4 linked regions of the Arabidopsis thaliana genome follow. The protein of the gene in region 1 purifies or fractionates together with the protein of each later gene. This does not show direct contact. Each region holds a gene or a part of one and is shown on either strand. Other genes may lie near its edges.

The links.
Region 2: the proteins of AT1G33120 (region 1) and AT3G09200 fractionate together in Arabidopsis thaliana (co-fractionation; one large-scale study listed by BioGRID). This does not show direct contact.
Region 3: the proteins of AT1G33120 (region 1) and RPS5A fractionate together in Arabidopsis thaliana (co-fractionation; one large-scale study listed by BioGRID). This does not show direct contact.
Region 4: the proteins of AT1G33120 (region 1) and AT2G32220 fractionate together in Arabidopsis thaliana (co-fractionation; one large-scale study listed by BioGRID). This does not show direct contact.

What each region holds. Positions count from the first base shown.
Region 1 is NC_003070.9:12,008,394-12,013,563, reverse strand, and holds AT1G33120 (Ribosomal protein L6 family), read right to left. Parts: upstream 2,686-5,170; 5' UTR 2,579-2,685; coding exon 2,204-2,578; intron 2,039-2,203; coding exon 1,916-2,038; intron 1,428-1,915; coding exon 1,341-1,427; 3' UTR 1,017-1,340; downstream 1-1,016. Other genes in the region: AT1G33110 (MATE efflux family protein), read right to left, coding at 4,946-5,026, 5,119-5,170.
Region 2 is NC_003074.8:2,822,056-2,827,669, forward strand, and holds AT3G09200 (Ribosomal protein L10 family protein), read right to left. Parts: upstream 3,187-5,614; 5' UTR 2,966-3,186; coding exon 2,711-2,965; intron 2,615-2,710; coding exon 2,546-2,614; intron 2,130-2,545; coding exon 2,031-2,129; intron 1,939-2,030; coding exon 1,546-1,938; intron 1,456-1,545; coding exon 1,309-1,455; 3' UTR 1,033-1,308; downstream 1-1,032. Other genes in the region: AT3G09190 (Concanavalin A-like lectin family protein), read right to left, coding at 1-632; PTAC13 (plastid transcriptionally active 13), read right to left, coding at 3,367-3,450, 3,565-3,916, 4,000-4,178, 4,409-4,795; LAC7 (laccase 7), read right to left, coding at 5,379-5,509. UniProt on the Arabidopsis thaliana protein: Ribosomal protein P0 is the functional equivalent of E.coli protein L10.
Region 3 is NC_003074.8:3,776,981-3,782,057, forward strand, and holds RPS5A (ribosomal protein 5A), read right to left. Parts: upstream 2,566-5,077; 5' UTR 2,462-2,565; exon of another isoform or gene 2,377-2,461; 5' UTR 2,375-2,376; coding exon 2,282-2,374; intron 1,895-2,281; coding exon 1,623-1,894; intron 1,534-1,622; coding exon 1,330-1,533; intron 1,250-1,329; coding exon 1,195-1,249; 3' UTR 844-1,194; downstream 1-843. Other genes in the region: AT3G11930 (Adenine nucleotide alpha hydrolases-like superfamily protein), read left to right, coding at 1-36, 126-413; HST (homogentisate prenyltransferase), read right to left, coding at 3,061-3,135, 3,228-3,260, 3,404-3,466, 3,642-3,759, 3,916-4,008, 4,227-4,300, 4,412-4,637, 4,931-5,077.
Region 4 is NC_003071.7:13,676,385-13,680,400, reverse strand, and holds AT2G32220 (Ribosomal L27e protein family), read right to left. Parts: upstream 1,492-4,016; 5' UTR 1,457-1,491; coding exon 1,049-1,456; 3' UTR 878-1,048; downstream 1-877. Other genes in the region: PRORP1 (proteinaceous RNase P 1), read left to right, coding at 62-243, 343-463, 538-609, 695-793; AT2G32210 (cysteine-rich/transmembrane domain A-like protein), read right to left, coding at 1,847-1,892, 2,008-2,146, 2,294-2,324; AT2G32200 (cysteine-rich/transmembrane domain A-like protein), read right to left, coding at 3,362-3,410, 3,541-3,688, 3,817-3,949.

The sequences.
Region 1 (5,170 bases):
ATAAAAGAAGAGAAAAAAAAATGTTGATATGTGTTATTTTATGGCAAGGAAATAGAAATTCAGGTATTTTTTTCAAGCAAAATTTCATAATTTGGGTTAGAAATTTTCTCAAAAATAGTAACGACGTCAACGATGTCGTTAACGGCCATAACGAAGACGAAGAGAAATTAGAAAATAAAGAATAGTTTGTGTTTGTTTTAGGATGAAAAAAAAAATTGACTGATTTTATAGGGTTTATGGCTGATTTTATAATCCATTGAGGAAAATCTGAGAATGCAATTAGTTTATGACTATAAACTCAATAACCCTTTGTTTTATGGGCCGTAAACTAGATTAGATTATTTTAGGCAACGAGAAAAGAAAAAAAAAGAATTCTGGCAAATATTAAATAGTTGAAGTTTATTTTTGGAAATTTTCCCAGCTAGAATTATAAAAGTTTATTTGAGTAACAAATGAAAAAGTTTTGTTAAATATTAAATTTGAGTATTTGAAAAAGTATTTGAGTATTAAATTTAAGTTAGAAAAAGTATGAGTATTAATTTGACTAAATATTAATAGGGTGTTATTCGTTTATGATTTCAAAAGAGTTTTAATGATTTAAATTGTCATGTAAAATCTGTTGTTATTCAATCAAGACTTTTTTAAAGTATGTTAAAGTTTTGTGTTATTCGTTTAAGATTTGTAAAAAGTAATCTAAAATCTTCATAAATTTTGGGTTATTAGATACGAACTTTTATTAAATCATTAAAAGTTTTGTGTTATTCAATTAAAACAAAAGAATCTTTGATTTTTAATGATTGTTAATGATTTAAATTATTGTGTTATTGGTTCATGATTTCCTACACTTTTCTTTACAAAATGAAGTCATGGAAAGTCATGGAAAATATTATTAAAATAGAGAGATTGTTTGGAAAACTTTACAAAATTATAAAAAACTAATCAACAAGATTATCAAAAAACTCTCTAACAATCGTTTATAATCTTTCATTTCTTTACTTTCAAAGATTTAACTAAAGTCATCAAAATTTCTTGTAAATTAGGAACCGATAACACCCTCTAAATTTGTGGGCGTTTTCATTCAGGACAATGGATTATAATGTTCTGGAATTCAAAAACACAACCAAATTCTTCAGAATTCAAAATTCATCCGAGAAGATGTAATTTGGCAAAAGTGTGAGAGTGAATGGGTCTCTAATTGTCTCCAAAACTTGTTGCATAAGTTAATAAATTCTCGAACAAAAAAAAGGCAAGGTTTACATCACCGGTGGATTTGGTCCATAAAACAAAACTAACAACATTCCAAACACAAGAAATATGAGCTAAGAGGGGAATATGAGTATTCATTCTTCCTCTACGATCTTGCTTTTCTCGCTAACATAGATACCGTCAAGGAACTTCCTGATATCCTTCTTCTTCACGTGACATTTCTGCACAATAATGCAAACCATAGCAGTTACATAAGACAGTAAAACATAAAGAATCAAGTCAGTTCAACTATGAAATATATGACAACAAAGTTAAATTGTCAACAAAGAATCATTTTTAAACACAATCGCTTATGCTTTCCTTCATACAACAATATGCAAACTCGGCCAAGTTAGCTCAGAATATTCCTAGTTGATATTGTACAAGACTATGAGAAACACATTTTAACCAATAAAATATTGGTTGACCAGAGCGCATTAAATCAGTTATAGATGAATCAGTTCGATTTCACTATGCAAAATGTGATCCCAAACTCAAACATCAACCAAAACAAAAGAAATCTACGTCTCCTATACTACACAACGGCTCTATCTTTTCGACCCAAGATTAATTTCAAGTTGTTGTGGATATAGTAGACTATGAGAGAATTGTGATATCTTCAGATCATTAAAACAAAATTGTGATATCTACTAGTTAAAGAATGGAGTACCTGGTTGATCAGAGCGCACGACCTTGAAACAAGCTCGATATCGTTACCGTCAAGAACAATCTCATCCTTCACCTTCTCAGATCGAACAATGGTTACACCATCCAACATCTCTACCTTCCTCACCTATTATTCCAATAAACACATTTCTATGTAAGTTCAGTGCTCGCAAACTCAGAAATCAATCATCATCGTCCAATCATAAAGTTGAATCTAGTGTCAGTCTATTTCATTCCGAGATCTACACGAATCTATGAGAATCAAATCAGAGATGAAGAAGATAAAACAAACCTTCTTCTCGCCAAGGAAGTTACGGATCTCGATAGACTTTCCGTCACCGCCGATGGAGGCGTTGATGGGAAAATGGGCGTACACGAACCTCATCTTGTAACGGAAACCTCTGGTAACACCGGAGATCAAGTTATCGACGTGGCTAAGAGCGGTTCTGATGGAGGCGCTGGTTTTGCGTGTTCCAAACCACGAATCGATCTTAAGCTTCTTCTTTCCAGTCTCTGGATCCTTGATCAGCTGGAAATCGAGGTTGAGATGCTTGAAATCGCGAACAAGCTTCCCGCGAGGTCCTTCGACTTCGATCACTTTAGCGTGAACCTTGATGGTAACACTGTCGGGGATGTCCATCGTTTCGGAAGAAAGAATCGTCTTCATCTTCTCCGATCTTTGTTTTGCTCTCCCTGACGGCTCTCTGGTTTGATCAAAGAAACCCTAGAGGGAGATTTCTCGACGGCGTTTTAAAAGGTATCAAGAGAAAAAACCCTAAATATCTTTCATATGTGGGCCTTTATCAAAATTCAGCCCACTAAAATCGTGCCCATAAAGAAAACCAAAAATGAGAAAAATACATTATTTACAATAAGCCCATGGCCCGTTAAAAATATTGGGCTGGAATGACGGAAGTGGTGCTCTCTCTCCTTCTCAAGAAAAATGACGGCGTCAGAAGTGGGTCAGAAGTGGGTTTAAAAGTGGGTTTTACTAAGAGACTAATCAGAAGTGGGTTTAAAAGTACACCCATTCCTAGCCCAATAAAACTGAAGCCCAGGAAACACCCAAAATATATTATTGGCAATAACAGGTCATATATATGCCAATTAATATAATCAAGTACCAATAGAATGCATGCTATTCGGCTTTTTCTGGATTCGGGTAATTCGAATTAGAGAGTTTAGTATCCTTTCAGATGGATAAGATTAGATATTTATGTATTCGGGTTGATCGGGTTCAGATCAAATAGAGGAGTTTAGGATTTAATTGAGTAAATATATATAAAAATTGGTTCAGTTTGGTTCGGTCTATCAAGTTTAGGTCGAAAGAAAACACCATTGTCGAAAGAAAGCCGTAGCAAACCACCACTGAATTAGCCACAGATCGAGTCACCGTACCAAACGCAAACAACATATTATTTTCTCTTTGCTCTCTCTTCGATTTGCTCTCTCTCTCACGACGGCTAAAGGCAGAAACCCTAGTTTATGAATCGTCGGAAGCAATTTAAAGGTAGAGACGCAGAAACCCTAAAGCAAATGTGGGCTTATTAAAACTCAAAAGTGAGAAAAGTTTATTATTGTCATTAAGCCCATGGCCCGTTAATAATATTGTGTCAGAATTAGGCCTTTTGAACTTTCTGTAATGATGTAAGTGGCGCCAATTCCATTATTTTTGTTTCTACTTTTCACGTTTATTTTCTCTATTTTTTAGCTTTCAAAACTCTTTGTAATCATTTTCTTTTGTTGAATAAATTTGACATTCCAACAAAAAATTATTTACAAAAAAATTATTTAACTTGTATTAAAAAAAAGGTTTTATGAAAAAAAACCTTAAAATCGTCTATTTTTATAATTTTATCCTATACGTCCTAAAAATACAAAATAATACGCAATATAGTCCATTTTTTAATTTTACATATATTAGAATGTTTTCACGATCTCATACATTAGTTTTTGAGAATTCTGAAGATAAAGTTGAACTCCTTATCTAGAGATCTTTGATTTGGTATATTATTTATCAAAAAATTTAAATTTGACAATAGTGAAAAAAAGATTATATTGCGTATTATTTTGGACTTCATAAGATTATTTTGTATTTTTTGGACTTGAAGGATAAAGTTGTGAATATGAACCACTATGGAGTTTTTCTGTACAAAACTCTCTATCTCTCTCTCTAACTGATCTCATTGATTAAAGCATAAACCTTAGAAAATTATTCACTGGCCGCGTTTTAAAAAGTATAAAGAAGAAAAACAGAAACCCTAAAACAATGTCATGTGGGCTTATCAAAATCAGCCCAACTCGTGCCGAGAAACAAAATTCCTAAAATGAAAAATAAATAGATTATTTGCAACAAGCACATGGCCCGTTAATTGTTTTTTCTATATATTTTCAAACAAAGCCGACGGAGAAATAATTCAAGTTTAGTATCCAAACATTTATATCATTAAATAGTTTTCATAAATCATCAAAAAAAGTTTGTTAATTTATTTCTATTAAAAATATATATATGTTACAATTGCAGTTGTTAAATGAGACAAAAAAAAATTCAGTTCTATTAGTCAACAAATTTGTTTTAAATGTTTTAAAACCAAACTGTCACTATTTAGACTTTAGAGCATCGCTCTATGGTTTCTTACCATGAATATCTCAAATAGTACAAAATAAAATTGGTGTGATTTTCTATACTATTTGAGAAGGTCACCCAAATATTTTAATTTTTGTTATTCTTTTCACATAAATAGTAAATTTTTTATTTTTATTTTTATTTTTTTGGTTATAAACCCCAAAATAATTTTGTGTTTGATGAATCATAGCTAAATGTAACACTATCTAGTGTTAATCCAAAAATTAGGATCTCGTTTTCGTTTTTTGGTTAAACATTAGAATCTTATTACAAGTTAGTTGCGAGGACATCAAATCGACCCAAATTTGTCATATTCTTGTCTTCACAATCTTGGAACATAGCCTAAAAGTTACATTTTAGCTTTTAAGAATAAAATGTGACGGTGCTAAAGACAATCTAGAATCCAATTTATTCCTCTGATGATACTTGGTTTACGTCTCTAGATTCTGGTACAACCCACCGATTTAAACGTCTCAACGACGTTGACACCTAATATATTTGGCAACAAACGGTATAAGAATAAGCACCAAAAACATAGCTTGCTAGGAACAAATTAGAAAACATAGTAATCGATTTATAACCTGTTGATCCCAATCTGTTCTCAGAGTCATGACGGTAAGCACACAAGTCTGA
Region 2 (5,614 bases), on another chromosome or scaffold:
TCAAACATCTTTATCGAACCACGTTTTCTGAAACGAACCCTCATTCTCTTAGAACTTGCCTCATAATCAATCATACAGCTCAAAATCCCTCCATCATCCATCATCAAGTCACCCACAAACGAAAGGTTTCTAATTTTGGCAGACTCAGGTCTACCAATTAAGACTCTTGCACGGTTTCCTCTCTTGGAGATATCAAACTCAAAAGCAACAACTGTCTCGTTCTTTGCATACTCTAATAGAAACCCTAAAGCAGAGGAACTGTAATCTTTCTTACCAAACAGACTAAGATCCAAAGTACTTGGAACCATTACAAAAGCCAAGACATCACCAATCTCATTGGGCATCGAAAACGAGAAGTAAGTCGAGAAAATAACGGAGTTCCTCTCTTTACCTTGGAATAGATTGATGGGTTTCTTGTAAAAGACTCGTCCCTCGGTCCGATTCACTGAGTCAGTCAGCTGAATCGAAGAACTGTCATTGACCAGCTTCGAATCTCCAAACAGAGCAACACTCTTGTCAAAACTCTGAGATTTTACGAATTCATCAAATGAAAACGTGAAATCCACACCTGCGGTTCCATGTATCTCAAAGCATAAAAGGACCAGAAAAGATAGGGTTTTGAATATCGCCATAGCTATACTGAGACTAAAATTGGTTCTCTCTGATTTAATGACTACAGAGACGAGCTCTTCTCTCTCTCTTACTCACTCACTCACTCTTCTCCTTCTAAAAATGGAATTTCTAGGATTTGAGAATGACTTCCATTTTTTCAAGAAGTATTTAAGTTTGTTGTTTTGTGTGGAACTATGCGAAGAAAGCAGAGGAAGAAGTTAAATATCATCAACACATGCAGAGAGATTGATTCGTTCTCAGTCCCACTCACTTTCTCCCTCGTAGTGGTTGCTGACTAAGGTTAATGCCGTTTCTGATTTGTATCTCAGTTTTATTACATTCTATCATGTTTAGCCTCATTTACTTTTAGAATATGACATTTGTGCCTACTTTCTAAGAAATAAAATGACTCAACTTGTAGATCTAAGAAGATTCTGCTTCATACAAATTTTATCAAAGTCATGTATAAGAAGCTCTTAACTTTCTCGACGGATAGATAAATTGCAAATTCATCGTCCAGACATTATTGAAAAATATTAAAGCAACCATAAGAAAACGAAATCTTTCCAAAAAATAAAAGACAGTAGTAACATAAAACTGGATTGGCTAAAACCAAGAAAATTGAGGTCCAACATACTAAAAACAAAGCAACACTTATAATCCACGACAAAAAGGTAAGATCTTAACCGACAAAATCTACTCTTCATCGAACAAACCGAAATCACCTCCATAGTCTTCTTCGTCGGACTCTTCCTTCTCCTCTACCTTAGCAGCAGCTGGGGCACCACCACCTGCATCAGCAGACACCGCAGCTACTGAAGCAACAGCAAACTTGCTTGGATCCTGCATTCCAGAGAGTTAACATAAACAAAATCAGTACTCCAAACTTCCGAAATAAAATGAAAAAGATGCACAGTTTTAATGCATACTAACCTTCAAGTATTCCTTGACCTTCTCTGCTTGAGGGAAGGTGTACTCAGTGGCAACAGCAATAGCCAAGGCATTCTTGTACGCATTGATGAACATATGCGGTGCAGCAGCAAGGGTAGGGTACGACACAGCAAGAGCCAAGGAAGTGACCATGGAGATACCAGAAGCAAACTTCTCCACAAGTTGGTCTTCAGTAAGATCAAGAACCTCTGGGCTGAAGACTGAGCCATTGTCATAGACAGACTGGACAACAAGACCATATGAGAACGGCCTGATGCCAAGCTTGGCTAGAAGCGCAGCCTCAGAAGACCCGACCTTGTCACCTTGCTTGATAAGCTCAACTGGGGTGATGATTTCGACGGTACCCTTGTTAATCTTGGTTGGGATGTTAAGCACCTAAAACAATCCAAAACACATACATGTTCAATTAACTTCAAATTGTCGTCAAACGAATCAAATCAAACATTAAATGTAAGTTTAAAACAAACCTGGAAGAAAGATGTTTGGGATGGGTCGAGACCAGTGTTGCCAGGTTGGACAACCACATCAATTGGAGCCACCAAACCCACACGAGCAGGGGCACCAACCTGATTCATAATAAGAAAAGTTCCATTACAATCGAATCACATTGAAAAAGTATCAACATTTTAACCCAATCATATTGCAAAAGCATCAACATATTACACAATCCAATCACGTTGAGAAAGCAACAACATTATACATAAGTCAATCGCATTGAGAAAGCATCAACTTTTTACACAATTGATGAGCTCTACTTGGGATGACTGTAATACTCATAGGAACACAGGCAATATAAACAGAAACGTAAGCAAGAAATGATTACACTATACATCAGATACCATCGAAAGCAACACAAGTAAATTCAGAACATGTATAAACTAATGTAAGCATGAAATGATTCCTCTATGCATCAGATACTTACTATCCGAAGCTATAATCACACATTTGTAAATAAGATATGAAACAAGAGCAATTAACAAACCTTGTACTTAGCAACCTCCTCGCTCACTTCCTTGAGGTCACCTTTGGTAAAGATCAAACCAACGTTTCCCTACAAAAAACGAACACAGAACCATCGCAAATTATTTTCTAAACACAAACACATCGATAAAATCTCAATCATTTTGGACAAGCTAAGAAAGTTTACCTGAAGGAGAGGAAGCAGATTCAGGATTGCAGTGTTTCCGGTGTTCTCAGAGTGAATCCTAACGGAACGCTTCATCATAGTGTTCTTCCCCATAAGCACGACGGAGTCTCCACGAAGACCCTTTCTGATGTTCTGAAGCTGAGTTGATCCGACGTTATCGGCCGCAACGACCAAGATCTGGGTGTACTCATCGATAAGCTGACATAGCTTGGTATCGTAGGCGATCTTCTTCTCTGCCTTAGTTGCTTTCACCATTTTCGCTCACAGGATAAGTTACGAGACACAAACTCAATTTAACTCTGTGTATAGAGAGAGTTTGACGTAAAGAAATTAGGGTTTTGGTATCAGCCGTTTTATAGTTCACGATTTGGCCTGAGGATAAGGGAACCTCTAGGGTTTTCTTTGTGAATCTTAATCTAACGGTTCGTGCCTGTTTGCTTCATTCTGATCTGACGGCTCTTGTTTGTTGGGCCTTTTCACAAATTAGGCCCATTTAACCAGTAAAGGCTCTCATCTTTCAAATGAAGATAGAACGTCGTCGTTGCAATCGTTTGGCGAATTTAACAGAACAAACACACCAAAACTTCCAAAACATGTGAAGTGATCATGGATTTATATTTCAAACCAAAAAATTCACATTCTAGTGAACAAACTATTTAAGATTGAATCTCAGGAACAAGTTCATTGATGTCAATTTCCACTAGTGTCTCCTTCCCAAACAAAGTAAATCCCACCGTTGCCTGCAACCAACCATACGAAAGAATCAGAGAGACATCTAAACAAACACATTTGTGCAAATTGACCAGCTTTGTTATCAATAACACAAAGGAGCTAGAAGTAGTTAGTTAGTGTACCTTTGCAGTTTTGCGGTTTAGTTTCTTTAGGTTCCCAACAAATTCAGCAAATGTCCCTGATAAAACTCTAACTGTAGAACCCGCTGCAAGTTTCTTCTTCTTCGCCTTTGTTTCAGTAGCAAGTGTAGCTTTTCTCGGGGCTCGTTTCGGTTTAGATTCTGCTACAGTCTCAATAACATCTGAATTAGATAATGCGAGAAGTTCCTGTGACGCTAGTATACTCGCTTCTTCTTCAGCTCTATCTGCCTCTTCGAACTCACTATCTGCTTTCTCTTGCGCTTCTTTTGCTTGTTTGAAAATAGCTTCCAAGTCACTGTCATCTACTGGTCTTGGTTTATTAATCTGTCTCTTGCTACAAAAAAAAAATGCAGATACAAATTAATTCACAGACCTTAACACACATAGGGTGAGAGTGAGAGTGAGAATACTACTCACGTATTTCCAACTTTTGAACCTATGAAACCTCCGACTCCATCAACGTCTCTTATGGAGTCATGTATCTCTTTGTTCAATATACATCTGATGAAAATGCAACCAGGGAACACTGGTTTCGGTTTAACAGATATAGAACCGTTCTTTAGCTTTCTCTTCACTTGAACAGATGGTGCATAAACCTGGACAACCAAATTCAAAAGCCACTTGTTTCAATACCAATGTATGAATTCCCCACAAATTCTAAAGATCACACAATAACCCAAAATCAAATCTTTTCACTTTCCATCAACAACTGTTTAGAGTTTGTCAGCAATTCTATCAAGATACCAGTTTGATCCAATCTCATTGTCAAAATCCAAACTTTAAAATCACCCAACACAACCCAAATATCCAGTAAAATTCCAATTACCGTGAATTCCATTTCAGGGAATTGACGAGCCAGAGCTCGAGCTAAGATTTGAGCAGTCTCATGACCACGAAGTCTCGAAACCCTAACCGCCCACCATTGCGGACCCGACTCAGCCAAAGTATCCAAATTCAGCTCCTCCGTCCACGTTGCATACCGTTTTTTTGGTTTCTTAATCAACTTTTCTTCAACTTCTTCTCGCCAGCTATACCCCAATTTACTCTCCCGCCGCTCGTTCCGGAGCTGCCGTCTCTCCTTCGCCGTAAGCTGGTGGTTCCGCTCGATGACACAGGCGGCGATAGAGAATTGGGTTTTGTTGATTGGCGTATAAATCGACGGGATTAAGCTGCTACGACTCCACTGGAGAAGTCCCCCTTGCAGCTTCATCATTCTCTGTTTTTCTTTTGGGAAAATTCCGTTGATAAAATTCTCTGTTTGTTTTGGATAATGTTTTGGAATTTGTTTAACCGGGAACCCGGTTTATCCCAAATGCCGGTATGAAACTAAATCAGATTAAAATTACCGGATTGAAGTAGTAATTAAACTGCAAATCACAAAATTGGAGTACTTTACAAAGATATGGGGCACTAACTTTGTATTTTAAAATTTTGAATAAATATTTTTCGGGTAATGTCTAGATTACAAATGTTTTTAGCTTATGCAAATTATCAAAAACTGTTTTTTTCTTGTTCTATAAAAATGTTTTTAATTAGTAGAACTTTTATTTTGGTTCAAGTGACGTTCTTTTCAAAAATATCAAATTAAAACTTGTAAAAGTGACAAAAATAATAATAAATCATATAAATTACTCACAGCACACACAATTGGTAACAACATATGAATGGACTACAATACAATTTCTTTACCGACTACATCAAAACAAATGTGAGACAGAGAGACAAATTTTTGTCTTCTTTGCTCTAAATAATCTTCTTTTTATTGTTTTCGATGAAATATGTTTTTTTTATCTTGCTTAACATTTGGGAAGATCTGGTGGTGGCGGTGGCAAGGTGGTCGACTTGGTCGGTCCGTTCTTAACCACAAATATCATCCCTAGTCCGAATGGTAAGTGAACATCGATATGACAATGAAAAATCCACGCACCTGAAACAATGTAGCCAATATTTAGGTTTCATGCATAAACAACAATAATAGCCTTTGTAAAACTCTAAACTATATAATTACATTTTTAGTATAACTAAGGAATTG
Region 3 (5,077 bases), on another chromosome or scaffold:
CTCTCTCGCGCTCTCCAAATGTGCCGAGCCAAGCAGGTCCGATTCTATAACACATGTCCTAAAGACATTACACTAATTATTGGACATGAAACGCGATTAAAACATATTGTGTGATGGATGTGCAGATACGTACTGAAACTCTAGTGCTAGAAGGCGAGGCGAAGGAGATGATTTGTGAGGCGGTGGAGAAAATGCACGTTGATCTTCTCGTTGTGGGTAGTCGTGGCCTTGGCAAGATCAAAAGGTATTGTATCATTAATAACTTCTTCTTATATATAAATTTGAGCGCTTATTATTTTGTTTGCTTTGTGCGTTTCGGAAGAGCGTTTCTTGGGAGCGTTAGCGATTACTGCGCTCATCACGCCAACTGCCCCATCCTTATTGTCAAGCCACCTAAGGAGATGACTAAGTAATATGGAGCTGTTTACATGTTTGGGTTATTAGTACGAATTTTATAATGAGTGTGCCATAATTTACCTAAAAAAGAAAAAAAAGAAAAAAAGAGTGTTGTATGTACGTGTGTTTGACTTGGATAATTAGTGACATTTTAAGCAAATGTGTATTTGGAAAAGTGATGTCAATGAAATATGAATATGGGTCGAATAAAGAAGCGAAGATCTGTAGACTGTTGCTTCTCTGCATCTGTTGTTGTATTCCCGATCATATTGTTGTATGTTTATAATTTATTAAAAGCAAATTGTCTTCCTAATTTTGAATCTTTGTTAATCGAATCCCAACTTTCGAACGAATAAAGGAACTGATTAATTGCGATTGATAACATGGAACACATAAAGAAGTCGTGTCTTAAACTATAAACAAGAGATAAGAAAGACATACTGTATATGACATCAGAAATAAAAGCTTCGTCAATCATTTACCATATTGAGAACAATGCAAATGGTCTAAGACAATTTCAGAAAACGAGCTTGATTACCAGATAATAGAAACTTAGAACTAATAGCGAACTCTTTAAATTTCTAGCTTCAGGTGGCCTAGATAAGTTCAAAAATTGACAATAAACTGATGCGAAACAGCTTAAAGCATCAAAAATTTATCTATTCAAAGTAGTTCAGACGAAATAAACTTCATAAAACAAAAGAGCAAACATCTGAGATACATATTTCAATCTAAATGAAGATAAAACATTAAACTCATTGATACGAGATTGTAACGCACAGGGCAAAGGGAAAATCCTTAACGATTAGCCTTGGCAACTCTTTCAATCTCATCCTTCTTCTTGATGGCATAGCTGCAAGACATAACAGTTCAATCATTAGCTTCACTTTAAGTTATATGAACAATAGTGAAGTCATTTGGAAGTGTATTTACCTGTTGGAAGAGCCCTTGGCTGCGTTGATCAATTCATCAGCAAGGCACTCAGCTATAGTCTTGATGTTTCTGAAAGCAGCTTCACGAGCACCAGTGGTAATCAAGAAGATAGCCTGGTTAACACGTCTTAGAGGAGAGATATCAACAGCTTGTCTCCTAACAACACCAGCAGATCCAATTCTGGTAGCATCTTCACGTGGACCACTGGCTCAAGCAACAAACAAAACATTAATAAGAATAAAATGTTCCTTGTTCCAATGATACTATTTCAGCATACTTCACAAGGTTAGTACCTGTTGACAATGGCGTCAATGATGACCTGAATTGGGTTCAAGTCAGACAAGAGGTGGATAATCTCCATGGCGTGCTTGACGATCCTGACAGCCATCAATTTCTTACCGTTGTTCCTCCCGTGCATCATGAGAGAGTTGGTGAGCCTCTCAACAATGGGGCACTGAGCCTTCCTGAATCTCTTCACAGAGTATCTTCCAGCGGTGTGGGGAACAAAGGTAGCATGTTTAGCTGCCTGAACTCCAATGTAGTCAACAAGACTGATGTCTGTGACCTACAAGATGAAAAAAAACAATTGTCACTAACAACACTAAGAATCTGACATACTAACGCCAAAACGGAGATCCAATCATTCAGGGAGCAAAATGAAAAACAAATCGCAAAACAGTGAAATTTAGCAGAAGCTAAATGTTCCATAAATTAAGCTGTAGAACTATAACAAATAAATCTAACTACCACCAAAACAAGCGTATAAGGTTATGCCAAGCAATGTAAGATATGTATCCCAATGACAAACGCTAAAGTAAAACAATACATCTAAAGAGAAAGCTACCAAATCTTCTACACTAATCTAAGATGGAAAATGATTCTCACAGATGAAACATAAGCTAGAGGATCAAAGCGAGACCAAAATTAAGAGAGTGAAAGCTTAATAATTTACCGTAACGTCGTCATAGGTCCAGCGGTTGAAGAGCTTGACTTCGTTAGTGAGCGCCTGCTGAATCTCAGCGTCAACATCTGCGGCGGTGGCCATGGCTGTGGTGAGAGAAACAGAGCGTGAGCTCAAATACACAAGTACGAAATCAGAGTTATGAGAGAGGATTTGGAGAAAGAAGATCACCTGAAGATCGTTTGCGTCGCGCGAATGAGAGAGACGGCAGAGAAAACGAGAAGCTTTAAGAGGACGAACAAAAACCCTAATGTCACTCCTTTTATATAGATGAGAAATTTAGGGTTTGGGCTCTAATGGAGCTGTCTACATGGGCTTTCATTTCTTTATCCAGTAAAGAACCGGTTTAACAGGTTCCCTGGTTTATACGTGGTTTTAGCCGGTTAACTTACGGAATATTATTTTTATCTTAAGTTACACAAATTACATCATTAATAGTAAAACAAAATTTTATGGTGCAATTTAAGTTTTTATGATGAGTGAAATTCGAATAATATACAAATATTTTACTGTTTAGGTTTCCCTAAACCTACTTTTAGATATGTAAATTAAACATTTTTTTTTTTTTGGTTAGAACCAAGTCAGTGATCATAGAACTCAAAAAGCTGGTGTTTCAATTGGTACAAGCATTTTTATTGCAAGATATAAAAATTCAGAAGGACATATCCTTGATGTATGTACATGAAGGAACCGATTTTGACTCCAAGCTACAAAGAAGAAGAAGAATGATATACAAAGAAAACTGCATATCCTCACCATGAAATTGAAAGCTAGAGGAAGGGGAATAACAGATACTCTGCGTAGAAGAGATTCCATATAAACCGATAATATCCTGAGATAGCTTCCTGCAATAATCAAATGTTTCTACACTCCGTTAGATATACACTCCATTGATGTTCCGTGATAACGAGTTTATGTTTGTACAAAAGTATTTTACCTTGGTGTAGTTTGCTTTTTCTAGTACCCATGTCTACCAAAGATCAACAACAAAGATATTAGAGATTAATGAATTTGGCAGTGTCAAATGCAGAAACTAAAGCATATAGTTATGAAGTTCTTGTGCATTATCTCAAAAGTATGTAAGAGATATAAGAGTATCTCATAATGCTTTACCTGGAAAATTAAGCCTGAAGCCAAGATCACATGTGCAGGAATCATCAAGCTACCTCTAAAAACCTGTTCATTGTTAAAGGATAAGAGGGTTGGTCTTTTCAAAGCTGCATACTGAGGAAAGTAACAATATCGCAACAAAAATAAATTGGTGGCGATAGTTTATCAAGCTTCTACATGCAGTAATGGTGTTCGTGCTTTAATTAACCGAAATAGTTAAGACGGAAATAGATGAATTCACCTGAGGCATGTAGAAAGCTAGTGATATGGCTGAAACATAATTTACTAGCAGAAGTCCAGAACCGAGGAATGCAATGTTTCTCACTCCAAGTTTTGTTGCCAGGGTTGATATTTGGAACCTATTCAAGATCAATCAAAGGCATGATTAACTAAACATGCTTGAACAAACACATAAAGACAATATATCAAACGGAGCTGGTTAAACATTGTCTTTGACTGTCAAATGGATTGAGCCAAAGAGCGGAAAGAAAATGGTTATGCGTGCAGTTACTTACTTTCGATCTCCTTCAACATCAGGAAGGTCCTTTGTAATAGCAATGACCAGTGCAAACAGTGTCACAAAAGATGTGATGAACGCCACAGGTGCACTGCAAATAGCGAATCAAAAGTTGAGTAATATATCTACTCACGATTATGGGGAGCTCCTACAGTTCCTCTCTCATTGTGAGTACAAAGTTTGACTAATTTGCTGAAATCAAACAACAATTGGTCCCTCACATATATTAAAACTCTATCCATACAAGTATGCAAAGTCCATCCTATTATTACGACCTGTTTATTAAGTTTTGTGCATTTGACTACCAACCTCCACTGAAATGGAAGTCCAAGAGCAGCTCTTGTAGCATGGTACACACCAAAGTTAAGAAGGAAACCTCGTACCTGATAAGAAATGTCAATACAGAATTATGTTATTAAAAGTTCCCAAGCCACGAAAAATATCACATAAGGTGATAGTTGTATATTGATTAAGAAGCATAAAACAGCATTTACCGTGGCAATAATAAGAAATGCTGCAACTGGGAATCTTTTCATTCTGAGGGGTGGAACAGAATAGATGGTTCCCAGAAAAAGGCCAAGAGAGTATAGGCTTGTAATGAATGGACCAAAGTTAAATCCGACAACTAAAAGCCCTGCTATCGCAAAAAATATCACTAACAACCAAGCAGACTGCACTGATAGATCTCCTGCTGCTATTGGCAAGTATGGTTTGTTCACTCTGCAAAACAAATAATTCAAATTCAAACCAAAATAACACATCAAGATGCTCCAAAAGCTTGAACTTAAGAAATGAATAATATATGAGTAGACCGGTAATATTTTCAAGAAGCAAACAATAAAGAATCTAATAACAGTTCCAAGATAACAAAATTTTGTAGATGCACATCAGTGAAGAGTTTTGACAATTAGCTTAAGATCATTTAACATGTTAGGAACATGCTACTTCATAGTGATGTTAGATTAAATAATAATAGTGACCAATGTACATCTGCATCTAATAGTGCTGCATACTTGTCGATTCCAATGTCGTAGATCTGATTGATGCCGACTATATAACCATTCCCACAAATAAGAGCAAGAAGACCTGAAAGTGCCTTTAGTACAAGACTCCATTTGATCAAATGAGTGTTCTCTATCAAAGCTCTTGTCACCAAGGCA
Region 4 (4,016 bases), on another chromosome or scaffold:
AATCTCAAGAACCATTGTTTGACTACTTTATCTAATGCGACTCTTTATCTCTCCCCACTAGCTTAACAACACTGTCCAAAGATGCCAACAAATAAGCCCGTCGAAAAGGTTACCACTTGTGATCCTGCACAAGAGTCGTGTAAATGGAGGTCCAGCTACATACCCTAAAAACAGAGCCTTGCTAGAGAAATGGAAAAACGCTGGTGCTCTCTATGCTACCCCTCCTGGCTCAAACGATGATTGGTATTTGCATTTGCCTTTTTTTCTGGGTCTATGAATTACATTGACCATGAATAATCCAAAAAAGACAACCATTTCTTATGTGAAATCAAATTGTTCTAGGTATTGGCTTTACGCTGCGGTAAGTTGCAAATGTTTGTTAGTAACAAACGATGAGATGAGAGACCATCTCTTCCAGTTACTTGGAAATAGTTTCTTCCCAAGGTGGAAAGAGAAGCATCAGGTAACATATAATATAAGAGTCTATGTAATGTATATACATAAGCTTTTGATTGATACTGGATTCAATGTTTGCAGGTTCGGATCTCTGTCACTAGAGAAGATGGACTCAAACTTAATATGCCACCTCCATACTCCATTGTTATACAGGTCAACACTCACATTTCTATGTCCATCTCAATGTTTTCGTATGCATTTTGCATTAATGATGATGATTGATTGATGAATGATGCAGGAGTCTGAAGATGGAACCTGGCATGTACCAATGAGCGTAGAAGATGATCTCCAAACATCAAGGCAATGGTTATGCGCAAAAAGATCCAAAACACCTTGAATTTTTTTAATCCTTGTTGTATCATCTGACATTGATTCTTCATTTCTTAATAAATTTGTGTTTCATTAACCACAAGATTGAAAGAAATGTCTCACAATGAAGAGTTACTAGAAAGATTAAAACTTTAACCATCAAAATTGAATATATATTACTGAAATTTAGAACAAAACATAACCTTGAGCTAAACCAGAAGCAAAAACAATTCATGGTAGATAAAAATTGAAACTTTAAAACTAAAATTAAAAACTGTAGAATTCAAAACCTAAGCTTGGTGAAGAACCATCTGTTCTTGCCAGTCTTAAACCTCTCTTCAAACTTCGCCTTCGCTTCCTTAAGAGCCGTCACTTTCTTATCCTTGGACGAGATCGCGTCGGCGGAGACAACGTTCTTCAGATCCAAATCAAGAGTGTAGCGCGTAGGCATCACGTGCTGGTAATTGATGACCTTGAAGAAGCATTTCACGCGCGATTTCTTAGCCGTCTTCTTTGCCGAATCCTTGCGAATGACTTTGCTTGGGTACTTCTTCAATCCGGCGACGAGACAGTGACCGTACTTCTTCTCAACGGTACCGTCATCGAAGGATTTCACGATCACCGCCTTTTTACCGGTGTATCGTCCTTGTAAAAGGATCACGGCTTTTCCTGGCTTCATACATTTCACCATTGTCACTCTCTTCTCTGTCTTTCTCTCGGCGCTTCCTTGGATTCTAGGGCTTTATCGGGAGATATTTATACGCATCGATTTGTTCATTATTTGCATTCTAACCCCAAGAGTTTTAATTGTTTATAACTTTGGCTTATATAGTGTTATTAAATTGATTTTAAGTCCACGTTGACTAACCGGTAATAAAGTCAAAAATGTGAATCTAGCGTGGTTTAGAAGATGTCTAAGAGAAAACAAACGATATATTAAGAATTTATAAAATTACACAATGCAAAAGAAAGAGTGATATAGAAATGAATTAACAAATAGAAGTACCAAATGTCATAAACCTAGTCGAATCATTTTGGTAAAGCAAAATACAAAGATAATCAAAATAAACCATCTAAGTCTTCAGAAGCATGCGTCGAGGACACAACAACAACACATGGCCGCAAGACTGCATTCAAAAAATGAAAGAAAACAAATTAATCAATGCAACACACGATAACCGAACCGGTTTGATAGTTAACCAAACGTGCATGCCTGGTTTATACTAGAAAAAGAAGACTAACCAGCCTTTTAAGAATCCATCACCCTTGGACTTTGTCTCCACCGTTGCCACCGTGGCATGACTTGTGTCGTTCGTTGGGTAACCTAGCGGTGGCGGTGCCACGTAAGGGCCGGTAGACACTGGCGGCGTAGGATAAGCTCCTATAAGTTATTCATATTTCACATTAGTCTTATTACCATTTAAAAAAGTACTTACTACTATGAAACTGCAAATATGATTATAACCATGAGAATATTGACTAAACATATGGTCTGATGCTAAATTAGTACGAAGAAAAGAATACAAACCTGAAGATTGGTTTTGGCTGTATTGACTCATCTTGGAACAGATAGATTGTGATTTCTCTTTGAAAACAAGTTAGAAGAAAGTAGTAACAAATGTAGAGAGGTGTATGATTATGAAATGAATTGAAATATGCAAATGAAGATAGAGATATATATATAGAGAGGTAAGGGAAGTAAACGAAGGTCGGTTTAGTAAAACCGCGTGAGGTCAAAAAAAAAAAACGCGTGAGGTCAGATTGCATTAACTGCTAAGTCTCCAGAAATTTATTCTCTTGAAGAATAACAATGTGTTGATTTTTTCTCTTAATAAATATCAACAAAAAGGTAAGATGCTATCGATTTGGTCTTTTAATTCGTTGTTCTCTATTTACAAAAGTATACGAATTAGAGAACCTTATATATAGAATATGTAAAATGATGATAAATGCAGCATGGTTTTATATTTTTCTTGATTTAGTAATAATAAAGAGTTTTTTTATTCTTTCTCAAAGCAAAAAGTGTACTTCTTTCTCCATGGGAATATTTACATGTTAAGCAAAAGAGAGAACAATAATTAACGCTTATATTAACTAATAAAAACTAACAAAAGTAGATCAGAATATATATGTTATTAGAAGTTATGTTTTACACAAACGGATCTTAGATAATAGTTTGAACCATAATAATTTTACTTGAATCGCTTTATCTCGTCCAAAGTGCGTGTTGTTATTAGAGTAAAACTTTATTTTCGAGAGAGCACATGAAAGTTTTCTTATGAAGAAGAATAATTGCTGGTTTCAAATTAGGTGGGAATATAAACGCAAAATGTGATTTAATTTAGCGTATCTAAATCTAATTCCAGAAATTTAAATGAACAACAATTGACAGTTTTGGGCACAAAGTAGAATAAATTTTACTATTACAAACTAAGTTGTAATAAAATAAAAAAAGTAGTAATAAATAATTAAATCAACAAATAGGAGGTCCAAATGTTATAAGCTAATCGAATCCCAAAAACTACTTGCAAAATACAATGAAAAATATTTGCATGAAGTGTCAAATTTAATAAACAATCGACTGCTTCCTCCGAACTCAGAAAATGCATGCGTCGAGGACGCAACAGGCCAACATGGTCGCAAGACTGCATTTAACAAAAAAAAAAACAATAACTTATCAAACGTGCGGTCCCGGTTACGTTGAGCCACAATAACAAATTGTCCTAAAATTTTCCAAAGGATTGGAAAAAAAGAAAAGAAAAAAGAGAGACTAACCAGCCTTTCAAGAATCCATCAGCAGCTTCACCTTTAGACTTTGTCTCGACAGGAGCCACCGTAGCATGAGTCGTGTCGTTCGTTGGGTAACCGAGCGGTGGCGGTGCCACGTATGGACCGGTAGACACTGGCGGCGTAGGATAAGCTCCTAATTATACATATTTGACATTAGTTTTGTTACCATAAAACTCTAGAAATATGATGTATGACGAGATTGATGAACGATGATACATGATCATGATGCTTAATTTGTAGGGACTCAAAAAACAAACAAACCTGCATATTGGTTTTGACTGTATTGGCTCATATTCGAACAGATTATGATTTTTCTTTGAAAATGTAGATGAAAATGGTATGTAGATGTGTATGATATATGGATTGATATTTGCAAACGAAGATATATAGTCATGTAAGGGAAGAACCAAAGAAGGTCGGTTTTAGTAGAACCGCGTGAGCGCAGATAACAGTCATTGTTA